Yarrowia lipolytica: one gene and its partners. The protein of the gene in region 1 purifies or fractionates together with the protein of each later gene. This does not show direct contact. Links are inferred from orthologs where the notes say so. Each region holds a gene or a part of one and is shown in the gene's direction. Other genes may lie near its edges.

Evidence for each region.
Region 2: the proteins of YALI1_E23635g (region 1) and YALI1_F12013g purify together in Saccharomyces cerevisiae (affinity purification with mass spectrometry; 3 studies listed by BioGRID, with this or other methods). This does not show direct contact. The link is inferred for Yarrowia lipolytica from reciprocal best matches to the Saccharomyces cerevisiae genes COX4 and QCR2.
Region 3: the proteins of YALI1_E23635g (region 1) and YALI1_F02758g purify together in Saccharomyces cerevisiae (affinity purification with mass spectrometry; 5 studies listed by BioGRID, with this or other methods). This does not show direct contact. The link is inferred for Yarrowia lipolytica from reciprocal best matches to the Saccharomyces cerevisiae genes COX4 and QCR8.
Region 4: the proteins of YALI1_E23635g (region 1) and YALI1_E15606g purify together in Saccharomyces cerevisiae (affinity purification with mass spectrometry; 3 studies listed by BioGRID). This does not show direct contact. The link is inferred for Yarrowia lipolytica from reciprocal best matches to the Saccharomyces cerevisiae genes COX4 and COX7.

The regions. Positions count from the first base shown.
Region 1 is NC_090774.1:2,361,841-2,364,471, forward strand, and holds YALI1_E23635g (uncharacterized protein), read left to right. Parts: upstream 1-1,642; coding exon 1,643-2,131; downstream 2,132-2,631. Other genes in the region: YALI1_E23629g (uncharacterized protein), read right to left, coding at 549-1,046. UniProt on the Saccharomyces cerevisiae protein: Component of the cytochrome c oxidase, the last enzyme in the mitochondrial electron transport chain which drives oxidative phosphorylation.
Region 2 is NC_090775.1:1,199,529-1,203,184, reverse strand, and holds YALI1_F12013g (uncharacterized protein), read left to right. Parts: upstream 1-1,881; coding exon 1,882-3,156; downstream 3,157-3,656. UniProt on the Saccharomyces cerevisiae protein: Component of the ubiquinol-cytochrome c oxidoreductase, a multisubunit transmembrane complex that is part of the mitochondrial electron transport chain which drives oxidative phosphorylation.
Region 3 is NC_090775.1:275,153-278,096, reverse strand, and holds YALI1_F02758g (uncharacterized protein), read left to right. Parts: upstream 1-1,851; coding exon 1,852-1,912; intron 1,913-2,223; coding exon 2,224-2,444; downstream 2,445-2,944. Other genes in the region: YALI1_F02794g (uncharacterized protein), read left to right, coding at 1-1,326; YALI1_F02726g (uncharacterized protein), read right to left, coding at 2,798-2,944. UniProt on the Saccharomyces cerevisiae protein: Component of the ubiquinol-cytochrome c oxidoreductase, a multisubunit transmembrane complex that is part of the mitochondrial electron transport chain which drives oxidative phosphorylation.
Region 4 is NC_090774.1:1,559,983-1,562,750, reverse strand, and holds YALI1_E15606g (uncharacterized protein), read left to right. Parts: upstream 1-1,938; coding exon 1,939-1,943; intron 1,944-2,081; coding exon 2,082-2,268; downstream 2,269-2,768. Other genes in the region: YALI1_E15625g (uncharacterized protein), read left to right, coding at 177-218, 276-1,238; YALI1_E15583g (uncharacterized protein), read right to left, coding at 2,709-2,768. UniProt on the Saccharomyces cerevisiae protein: Component of the cytochrome c oxidase, the last enzyme in the mitochondrial electron transport chain which drives oxidative phosphorylation.

The DNA.
Region 1 (2,631 bases):
AAAGTCATGTGATATCTCAGCGACCAATCGCTCAGATGACCTGATAGCGCCTCCAAAATTATATAATACTTTGGCCATTATTATAAAAACAGTATTAGGCAATCTCACAATTACTCAGCTTCCCAATCCGACGCTTACACACCGAGTTGCACAACTTTTGAAACAGGTTATGACCACTCAACTTTGACCCAAACGGCGGTATTAGGCGACTTAGTCAGCGAAATCAAATCCGTCCCGTGACTTCCCGTGATCACGTGCGTACAATGATGTTATGTAACAGCAGAAATTTCCACCGAAAATTTCCACGTCTTTTCTAAACTCCTCATTTTCACTCTTTTCTTACCTCCCCGATTACGTAATTACTTATCTTTGATTTTGCGACCCACCAGAAACAACCAAATTGGTTGACACGTTTCACGTGATCCAATTACTAAGCACACCAGCCACCAGCTGGGACTTTAGCCACATCCACTGGGTACCCAGCCACGATTCCGCCCTAACCACAACCCCTAACCCTGAACACCATTCCAGCCAGTAAAAGGCGGTGCTTAGCTAAGCTTATTGCTGCGGACCTGACTCCCAACCCTAATCCTATTGCTCAAAGTGGAAAAATGACATGTTATTTTAAGGTTTCGCAGTCGGCCCACTCTGGCGCGCTGTGATTGGCTTAGCTCGGCTAACAAATCATGTCCCAAACTTTTAACAGTGTGTGATACGATTTCAGTGTTGGCTTCCACATAGCACCTTTCGGTACATTCCATATTTTTGCATAAAGTGGGTATTGAGATGATAAGGCGGATATTGTGGGGTGGACGAGAGAGGGGAGGATGTGACTCGGGCAATGTCACCTGTGAACAGACACGAGTCTTGTGTTTTTTGAGCAAATATCGACAAGCTACAGATGAGCAAATGAGATGACAGGGAGAGACCCAGGAAGAGGTGGAGATGACGAAAACAAAGACGATTGCGGGATGGATGGCACGACAGTTGTGGTGACGACGTGGAGAGTGTCGTGGATTGACTTGGAAAGTGTCATGGGGAGACATCGGGAGTGTCGTAGGGAGACGCGGGCAATGTGATGACTACATGCAGCGTATAACGAAGGAGAAATCGAGACCGGGGATGTCGCTATGTCGCTGAACTTGACTATTCGACCATTCGACTATTCGACATTGTGATGCACTTTACTAGTCGATGCCAGTCACTTCGCACTTAGCACTTTCAATGCATCAACCCTCTGACGTTTCCACCGACCCGTTACCTAATTCCGCACTCTCAGAACAGCTCAAATCAAACGACACAAAGATTTCGCAGATATCACAATTTCACGGATACCACTGAACCCCTCGAAAACGTGTTTGTGACACACCTGTGGCTGTGGCTGTGGCTGTGACGTGACTCCGTGTTACGACTAAGTGACGTGACTTATGTCATCATCAACAGATGGTGACAGCGTCAAATGCCATTTACCAGTTTCACAGCAGTTACTCTCAGCTGTGGCTGTATCCCGTACCAACGTATCCAAGCCGATTCATCATGAGATGGATGGGTCTGTGAGTTTGTACCAGACTTTTTGCACACCACGCTCTCACTCTACTGAGTCCACCACGCTTATGTCTCCTGTGCTTCAGTACTAACCCAGATGTTCGCCCTGAGAAGATCTCTGCTTTCCGCAGGCCGAATCGCTCGACCCCAGCAGGTTGCTCGATTCTCCTCTGCCTCTGCTCTCCTGCAGCACAAGGCCGTCAAGCCCGCCGAGAAGCTCTCCGAGGTCACCGGCCCCGAGTCCCTGATCGGAACCTCCGCCGCCCCCGGCACCGTGCCCACTGACCTCGAGCAGGAGACCGGTCTGGCTCGACTCGAGCTGCTCGGTAAGATGGACGGTATCGACATTTTCGACCTCGGCCCCGTCATCCGACCCCAGCACTCCGTCAAGGGCACCCCCGACGACCCCATCTGGGTCCCCACATACGACAACTCCCGAATCGTCGGCTGCTCCGGTACCCCCCACGGCTCCCACGAGGTCCAGTGGTTCCACGCCGGTGTCGATAAGGTCGGCCGATGCGACGAGTGCGGCGCCGTCTACCGAGCTTATGAGCTTGGCGCCGATGAGGAGGCTCCCCACCACTAAGGCTATGTATGTTAACTGAACAAACTGAGAGATTTGTCGCTTGTGCGTTGAAACCGTAGCGACATGCGAAAGAGAAACAACCATGGAACGTACAAACACAGCGTCTGTGTTGTTTTACAGAGGAAACCCGCTGTATCACCGCATGAGTAGCACTGTGGATGTAGACTGTAGGGTGCGGACGGGTGAATCTGAGAACCCACTGTATTATTGTGATACTGTAGAAAGTACGAGTACCTTAGTGGGACTGAGATGTAACCCTGAAGGCGACACTTGTTCGGACGTCGAAAGTCACGACACACCATGGGTGGATGTAACACCACCGTAGTTCTTAGCACCGTCATCTGCTCAGCTGTGAGACTGCCGACACGAGTTTTTCCAGTCACAACTGGAATGACACCGCTCACCGAGAGTGATCGATACAATGAATGGGTAGGCTCAATGGGTAGGCTCAATGGGTAGGCTCAATCTCAATGAGTAGGCCCAATGGATAGCTACCTTTT
Region 2 (3,656 bases), on another chromosome or scaffold:
CCCTTTAATTGCACCGCTGACTAAACATGGTGGAGCCTACACTACAAGGACATGTAGCTATGGACATGTTGTTTAGGGAGTGTAAGATGGGATGTGAAAGGGGGATGAGGAAAACATACAACTACTTGTAGTATGACTGTATATTCAGATGACGACCAAAAAAATAGATCATATTTCTACGCTTTTCCTGTTTTTTCCTTTTTTTCCCCAAATTTTTCCATCTCAATCTGCCAATTCATCTCCCGTCAACTTTCATCACAGCGCATACAATATGCATGCACGTTCTTTTTTATATTTTATATATATGTTTTATATTTTTATATATGTTTTATATATTTTTATTCCAGGATGCGTGAGTAAAACGGGGATAAAACGGGAAAAAAACGGGAGTAAAACGGGAGTAAAACGGGAGTTAAAACGGGAGTAAAACGGGAGTAGGAGGTGAACCACGGGCTACAGGGAGGTCACGAGCTACAGTGTATTCGATATCGGGCTGACTTCATTTCTAAAAAGTCAGATTATGAGTGTCTGTTATATACAATATATGTTCACCAGAGTCAAGTCCTCCAACTGGCTGAATTTTGACCGTAGAAAGCTGAAATTTGACACAGACATACTGGAGACACAGAGCAGACGGGAACAGCGATTTCTCTCCTTATACATCTACACCAACGAGGTATACGACACCCCAAAACAAGCCACTTTCACAACTCTAACCACCTTGGGCATGCATGTTTGAAAAAAACAATCTATGGTGATGAACATGACTGGGTAGGGAAAGAATGGGATAAAAATGAGTCAAATCAGATTCAAGATTGGTATTGTCGGGGAACACGGCGGAGGGGCCCATGTGACCAAATTTCAGCAAGACCCGATCCAAGTAGCGCCCACAAGGGGGACCTTTTAGTCATACCGGTCAATGCAACTCCAGAATCAGAGGTGAACAATCAGAGGAATTGTTATAAGAAGATGTCGATAGAAATGTCTCCGTCCAGCCAAGTCGACGACATGTTAAACTCCCGAGAACCTCTTTCTGTGGCCCCATCAGGCTAACTTTGGATGCGGACTCAAATACAGTCACAACTCGTGTTACAGTAGTCAGAAACGACTTGCGAAAACACCAATGTACTCCCACAATTCCAAGGGTCACAATGGTATACTCAACTCGTCCTCAAACCGCCCTCACTGTTGCAGAATCCCCGTCGCCAATTGCCCTCGATCCCATTTGCCAACTTTGCATCAACTGTAAACAAACTCGGAGATTTGACAAACTTGGAGATTTTTTAGATGCACGACCAACGTCATATTGAGGGAGATACGGCGAGGCGGGGGGAAGAGGTCACGTGGATGGACAGACCACGTGACCATTGCCACTCGGTACACGCCGACTCCATAGCCAGAGTTCGTCTATTCACGTGATCTGTCTCAAATACTACGCTGCTCAAACGGCTCATAATTTTGTATGTACAATGATGATTTGCGTGATTCGAGTGATTCGAGTGATTCGAATGATTCGAGTAATTCGGAAACAACACCACACAGTGCACGATTGAGACGGGCGGCGCGGACGAGGGGCAGATCACGTGACCGACCGGGTCCAATTGAGCTCCGCTGGCGGAAAAAAGACGGATATATCTTGGCGACCGCGCGCTCCAGTCGTCTCCTCCTGGTCGATGGTCTGATGCTGAGGAGTCCCAACCACGCGCTGCCCTAACCCTCGCACTCCACAACCAATCAAAACCGACGCTTTGAATGTCTTTTTGGCAAAAAAGGTTAATGTGCGCTCGCACAAATCACACCCAATAGTCAGTTCACCAACCACCCAGAACTAACCCCTTCACAACACAACACCCCCCCAAACCCCACACAAAAACAACCACAATGTTGTCTGCCCGATCCTCCATGACTCGGGGTGTTCCCCGACTGGCCGTTGCCGCCCGACACTTCTCCACCGCCGAGGCTGCCGGCGTCAAGGTCGCTGCCCAGGACGGCCAGTCCCCCATCTCGGACCTGTCTGTGGTGCTGCGAGGTGGTTCTCGATACGCCACCGTGCCCGGCGTGTCGCACATTCTGGAGAAGTTTGCCTTCCAGAACACGGTGCCCAAGTCTGCTCTGCGATTCGTCCGAGAGCTGGAGCTGTTTGGCGGCAAGCTCTACACCCACACCACACGAGAGCACATTGTGCTGCGAACCCAGTTCCTCAAGCAGGATCTGCCCTACTTTGTCGACGCCTTTGCCAACGTGCTGAAGGAGACCAAGTTCCAGCAGTTTGAGCTCACCGAGCGAGTCGCTCCCGTGGCCGAGCTCGACCTCCTCAAGCGAGAGTCGGACCCTGCCTTCACTGCCCTCGAGGCTGCCCACGAGGTTGCCTTCCGAACCGGCCTCGGAAACTCCGTCTACGCCCAGGGCTACTCCCCCGTCACCCTCGAGGACGTCAAGGAGTTTGCCCGACAGGTCTACGCCAAGCAGAACGTTGCTGTTGTCGGCAACAACGTGGTCCCCGCCGATCTGCAGCAGCTGGTCGGCACCGCCTTTGCCGACCTGCAGGAGGGCTCCAAGGTGACCCAGGCCGGCACCACCACTCTCCACGGCGGTGAAGCCCGAGTCCGAACCTCCACCGGCAACGCTCTGACCATCGCCCTGCCCATTGCCGAGCCCAAGCCCGTCTACCACGCCCTGGCCTCCTTCCTCGGCGGCCCCGCCTCCATGCCCTGGTCCGTCGGCGCCTCTCCTCTCGCCCAGGCCACCGTTGGCACCCACACCTCCGTCAAGGCCACCTACCACAACTACGGAGACGCCGGCCTCTTCGCCATCACCATCAAGGGCGACTCCCCCGCAGAGATCTCCCAGGTGGCCCACAAGGCCGTCCAGGCCCTCAAGGACACTGGCGCCGAGGTGACCGAGGAGCAGGCTGCTCGAGCATACGCAAAGTCCAAGTTTGCCGCCGCTGAGGCCTTTGAAAACCCCGACTCCTCCGCATCCGTCATTGGCATGGAGCTTCTGTCCGGAGTCTCCCGAATCGCCCCCGAGAACGTGCAGAAGTTCACTCCTGCCGAGCTCTCCGAGGCCGCCGCCCAGCTGTCTGCCAGCGCCAAGCCTGTTGTTGCTGCCGTTGGCCAGGTCCACGCTCTTCCTTTCGCCGACGAGCTTTTTTAAGCGGTAGGTTAGCATAATAAAACTAGATATTGACGACCCTCTACTGGCGCGCAGTATCATCCTTGCGACGCTGTCACGAGCATGATCTTGCGGCAGTATATGGGAGCAGACGTAGACTACGTTGCGAGTGCCACGGTCACTAGTGATGTATGTACACGTAGGGTGACGATGTTATCGTAGAGTGATACCAGTGACGGGTCCGATGATACCGGTGACAAGAAAGAATGTGGTGGGTATGACCGCGATGGGAAAGAGTGTCAGGATGTAGTGTGGACTGTGTGTATCGTCATGAGATGCTTCCATGAACTACGCTCTGAAGTGGTCTTGTCGAGTGTTGTTGCAGGGAGGAAGTTCATTTGGAGACGAGAGATTTGTGGGAGAAGATAATAACGGGTTGATCTTGTTTCATCAGGGGATAGAGCAAGTAGAGGCGTGAGGGGTCTGTAGAACTGAGGGTATTGGTCTCATCGGGGGTATCCATGGTAATCTGGGTGTACCGT
Region 3 (2,944 bases), on another chromosome or scaffold:
GTTTGTTGCTGGACCCTGGGCCGGTTCTCAACCTGGGTCTGCGAACAGAGCATGTCCGAGCAGGACACTTACTTCATCCCCACGCTTACAGGTCTCTTTACATGTGCCCTGGACCGAAACAAAAAGGTGCAGGTTGCCGGCTGTTCTGCCGTGGCCACCTTCACTGACGAGGCCCGAAACATGCTGACTCCATACCTCGGCCAGATTCTCGAGCAGTTTGCGCTCTGTTTCCGACGCTACCAGAAGAAGTCGCTGCTGTTCCTGTACGACGCAGTTTCGACTCTGGTCAAGTATTGCGGCGCCGAAATTGCCGAAAACCAACAATACATGGAGACTCTGATGCAGCCTCTGATTGCCAAGTGGGAGCAGATTAGCGACGACGACAACGCCCTGTGGCCACTGTTTGAGTGCATGTCTGCCGTGGCCTCGTACATGGGCCCTGCATTTGAGCCCTATGCTCCCCCTGTGTTTGACCGATGCGCTCGTCTGCTGCACTCGTGCTTGGTTCAGGATCAGAACTTTTCCAACGACCCGTCCCAGGATCCTGCCGAGCGAGACTTTATGGTGACTGCCATTGATCTTGTCGACGGTCTGGTGCTCGGTCTCAAGGACAAGGCAGCTCCCTTGATGATGAACAGCGAGCCCCCATTCATGGAGCTGCTTCTTGTGTGCTGCCATGACGAGTTTGACGTGCGGCAATCGACATTTGCGCTCATTGGAGACATGGCCGCCCTGTGCCCCCAGCCATTGGAGCCCTACATGGATCAGTTGATGGAGGAGCTGCTCAACCAGGTCGAGTACAACCACATTTGGCCTGATGCCGTCAGCAACACTTGCTGGTCACTGGGAGAGATTGCTCTTCGATTCGGCGACAAGCTGCGACCTCTTCTGCAGGCATCTGCTGCCGAGCGGCTCATTGCGCTTCTGCGAACCCGAGATGCATCGCCACGAGTTCTGGAAAACGCTTCGACCGCCATTGGCCGAATCGGCATTACCATGCCCGACATTTTCGCGCAGCGAATCCCAGACTTCATCATTGCCTGGTGTCTCAACATGCATGACGCCATGGACAACAGCGAGAAGGAAAGCGCGTTTGTGGGCATGTGCACCATCATCTCGTCCAACCCCCAAGCCCTCGACAACTCCACCCTGCTCATGTTTGTGAATGCCGTGGCCCGATACCTGGAGCCTAGCGAAGCGCTGATGCACACCTTTCGACAGGTGCTGGGTGGCCTCAAGGGCATGCACCCCAATTTTGACAAGGACGTGACCGAGCAGCTGCCTCCCATCATCCAGAAGCGACTGCGTGACGTCTACGGCGTTTAAACTAGACTGTACCAACTACAAGCATGTACACTCCATAGCTACAATCACTTAATCATGCCTGGTGCGGTGGAGAAACGGCTCCCACGGATTAATAGAGCCATAGAGAAATCAAACGATAGATGTATAACAATGACATCAAGAGTATGAACATGTCCTTGTAGAGATGTATGTTGAGGAGTATCGCCTACAAGATTTGTACAAATATATCAATAAGCAGCATCCAATCATAAATCCAGAATGTATGCTTTTCGGGTTCATCATGTTATCGTCAGTTATCATCTCGTTTTACTGTCTCCATATTGTCCCCATATTGTCTCATCATTCAGCTTGCTGCTGACACTGAACCATGCATATTGGAAGTGTTCCATTCGCCCACAATAAGCTTTGCTCCCAGCACACCACAGTGATGCTCCCCAGGGTTACCCTACCGTTCCTCCCAACAGCCAATGGAATCACACGGGTATCTTTCAAAGCCAAAGCTCACGAAAATCATCTCACCTTCACTAACTAAACACATCTATCAAAATGGGAGGCAACGGACACTACATGGGATGGTGGGGACACATGGGCTCCCCCCCTCAGAAGGGTGAGTACAAGAAGACAGGATGAGGCCTTGCGTTATTTATTGGACGCTATTCGACACGCGATGAGGGCTTCAGGACAACAATGGTGCGTGATGATCAGGCGGTGACCTACGTGGACAACATACCACATCAAGAGTGTGTTAGAGGTGATCAATGATATTGGTACAACCAGTCCACTACTACAACCGACCCAGGGCCAACTTGGTCCCTTTGTGGTCGAATTGAGGGTCTAGTAAAAAGTCACGCGCAAGATAGACAAACCATCACCACACACCAGTCAATCGTCACTCCTTCCCCAATCATACTAACTCAGGTATCGCTGGATACACCATCTCCCCCTTTGCTGCTCGACCCTTCGCCGGTGTCGTGCACGCTGCCATCTTCAACACCTTCCGACGAACTAAGAACCAGGCTCTCTTTGTCATCCTGCCCGTCTCTTTCTTCTACTACGTCTGGACCCAGGCCTCTGAGAAGAACGAGTGGCTCTACACCAAGGCTGGCCGACACGAGCTCGCCAAGGCTCTTGCCGAATAAGCATAGAAATACATATTAAGATCGACATCGTGGATTGTACGTAGAGGTCACAGCAGTCCCCTGAAGTGTGCACTGTATTGTAGTTAATCAGGTCATATTAAATATGCCTTGTATTGGTCATGATTAGACACTGCAAAAACGACTTACGATAATTCTTCCGTTGTATCGTATCTCTCGTATCACACATACAATCATACAGTGTCCAGAAAATCAGATGTTAAACACGGAAAACAACACATACAGTACAGTATAACCACAAAGAAAAGCTGTACAAGTATCTTAGATATACATTCTACTGTAGCCACAGGGAACAATAACACACAGATGAAATACACTCAATAAATATTAAATAGCTAGTTTTTATGTGGCGTCACCTTGACACTCTTCGAAACCGTGGTGGACTGACCCTTGTGGAACAGCGGCAGATCATACTTGAGTACGCCGCGAACAATGAGCTCAAACGGCTCGGAGCAAATCTTCTTCCACCGCTCTTCCGGAGT
Region 4 (2,768 bases), about 800 kb from region 1:
ACAGGCACACAACCTTAAATATTTCTCCACCTTGCATCGGGCCTGCTTTATCTGCAACGTGACGCCAAAAAAGTGTTGTGAGAGCACCCAAGCACTATTTACTAACAGAAACAGACGATCCAAGCGACGGACTCGTTCTCCTTCCCTTCAACCACTGCCAACGTCACAGAGCTGACATGTCCGACAACTTAAACGTGACAGCGTTGAGTAGGGCCTATGTGAGTACACCGGCACCGCTAGCAGCTACGTCTGGATATCGGATCTAACTAACACAGACTCAAACACAATGTGTGTCTCTGCTATCGCAAATCGCCGATTCAGTCACATGTATCGTGTGCCAGGAACTCATGTGTCTGCCGTGTGTGCTGGAGTGTGGGCACTCTTACTGCTATGATTGCATCTCGACCTGGTTCACCAAGGTCAACACCTGTCCTTCGTGTCGGAAGGAGTGTCACAAGAAGCCCCATATCTCACATGCAGCGGCAGGTATATCCAAGGCCATAATTGCAGCTATAATCGAAACAGACCCCTCCAGGAAAGCAGAGTACGACGAACTCATGCAAAGACAAACGGAAGAATACAAGAGAGATCTGTCGATACACAACTCGATGCTTCCAGGCCTCTTTTCAGATAGCGAAGATGGCAGCGACTTTCAATTCGACGCCTCTCTGGCTTCAGCTCTGGATATTGAGACCCATGAAGGCGGCTTTGATTCAGATGAGTTGTCAGATTCAGGCTCAGAAATGATGTACGGAGTGCCTGGAAATATACACTGGCTCGATAGACAGGGTCAGCGACATTATCTCGACTGGGGAACCACCATCAACCACATCATCATGCAGTCTTACTATCGCCATCGCGTGGAGGTTTCCATCCGTGCGGTGAGTGACACTACAGAACACACAGAACAATACCACGATGCTCCAGATTCGCACTATGCACCAAGGACTCCTACCGAGGAGTTCCACGACGCACGTCCCTCTAGGCGACATATTCCTGAGCGTGTGATGATTGAGAGACCCCCGAGAAGAAACTCGCCTCCAAGTGAGCATGTTCCTCCGGTAGAGACTCCAGATATCAGTCTGGGGGTAAGACATGCGATCAAGTGGATCACGGTCGAGCCTACCAAACTAACCATTGGGGTAGCCAATGGAGATGAGAAGACATTCACGAGAGTTGTGGATGCACATATTAACGGTTCCAGAGGCAGTGATAGCGAGGGGTATTTCTCAAGCTAGTGAGGCGGGAGCCAAAGTGAAGGCAAGAGACAGAGCGTGCGAGAGGGGCAATCAGTATAGCGGTCTGAGAGCCTCAGTGAGATACAGATACCCGAGCACAGGTTCAGGGAGAGCACAGGCTCAGGGAGAGCAATACATACTAACTATTTATCAATAAAAATGTTATCGGAAACACAATCAATGTGGTAATGGTCATCGTACAGCCCAGCAAGTCTATAGGCCTTGATTGACCATACATACCCAAAACACACCCAGCACTACGATACTGTACAGTAGATCACAGGGACTTGCTTTGGAACGCTGCCGATACTTGTACTTGTACTTGTGGCATGTATACTGTAGGTATGTATGAGTGTACGTTTGAAGAACTAAGGGTATCACGTGAACAATAGCTTTGGTTTCTGCACTGTTACGCCCTTGCGAGTGGTTGAACATTTGAATGTCTGTCCCTGTTCCGATTACATAATATCATGATTATGTAAAAAATATGACACCACAAATTCCATCCACTCATCTCCAACAGCTTCTCCCAAAGCTGAACTCAAAGCGCCTTGGATCAGGCAATACTGCAGTCTGTGTTATACGCAGGACCCTATTTTACGCGCAAGGTTGGGTTTGAACCGAGCCTGATTGGCCGCTTGCAAACATTCGATTTTAAGTAAGCTCAGACGTACCACCAAATCCATCACTACATATCACAATGGTCGTGAGTACCGATAAACGCGAAACGAGGCGTTGAAACCCGACAGATCCACCGCCAGTGTTCTGAGCACGTCCCGTTTAGCGGGCTGTGGCTTTTGTGCGGCCTTTTTGCGCGGCGTGTGTCACCACATTACTAACCCAGAACAACGTCATCAAGAACCAGAAGCTCTTCCAGTCCCAGCCCAACGTGGCTCTGTGGAAGCGACACCCCCGATCCAAGTTCCTGCTGTACCCCTTCTACGCTTGTTTCGCCGTCTCCATGGGCGTTTCCGTCTGGTACACTGGCCGAACCATTCTTGTGAGTAGTATTGATATGTGGAGAACATGATTGGAGAGATGGAAGATGAGAAATTCGACTGATTGAGCAGTCAAGGATCACGACAATTGCAAAACTAACCCAGGGTATCAAGGATGAGAAGCCTGCCTCCGAGTAGACTTAATACATTTGCACATGATATTTGACTAGATACCGCAACCGTAGCGACGAGGGAGAAATTGCAACATCAAACCGACATCAGAACGACACAGAAACAATATTGGGGGATTCAGACCGAGAAGAAACACGACAGGGACACGTAGAACGAGAAGGCGGAGGTTTCCTGAGCAAGGATCGATGATTGATGTCTGAGATGTTATCTGATGACTAAGCACCTGAAGGGTTGATATTGTAAGACCCACTACTACTACAGTAATTACCTTACTTGTAGCACAGATAGTGAATGTAAAAAGATTTATTAAATACACAACTATATACTGCTGTTGCCACGGCTACTGCTTCTCATCGTGCTCAATGTCATCGGTGGTGATGATGGCAGCACTCTGCCAGCC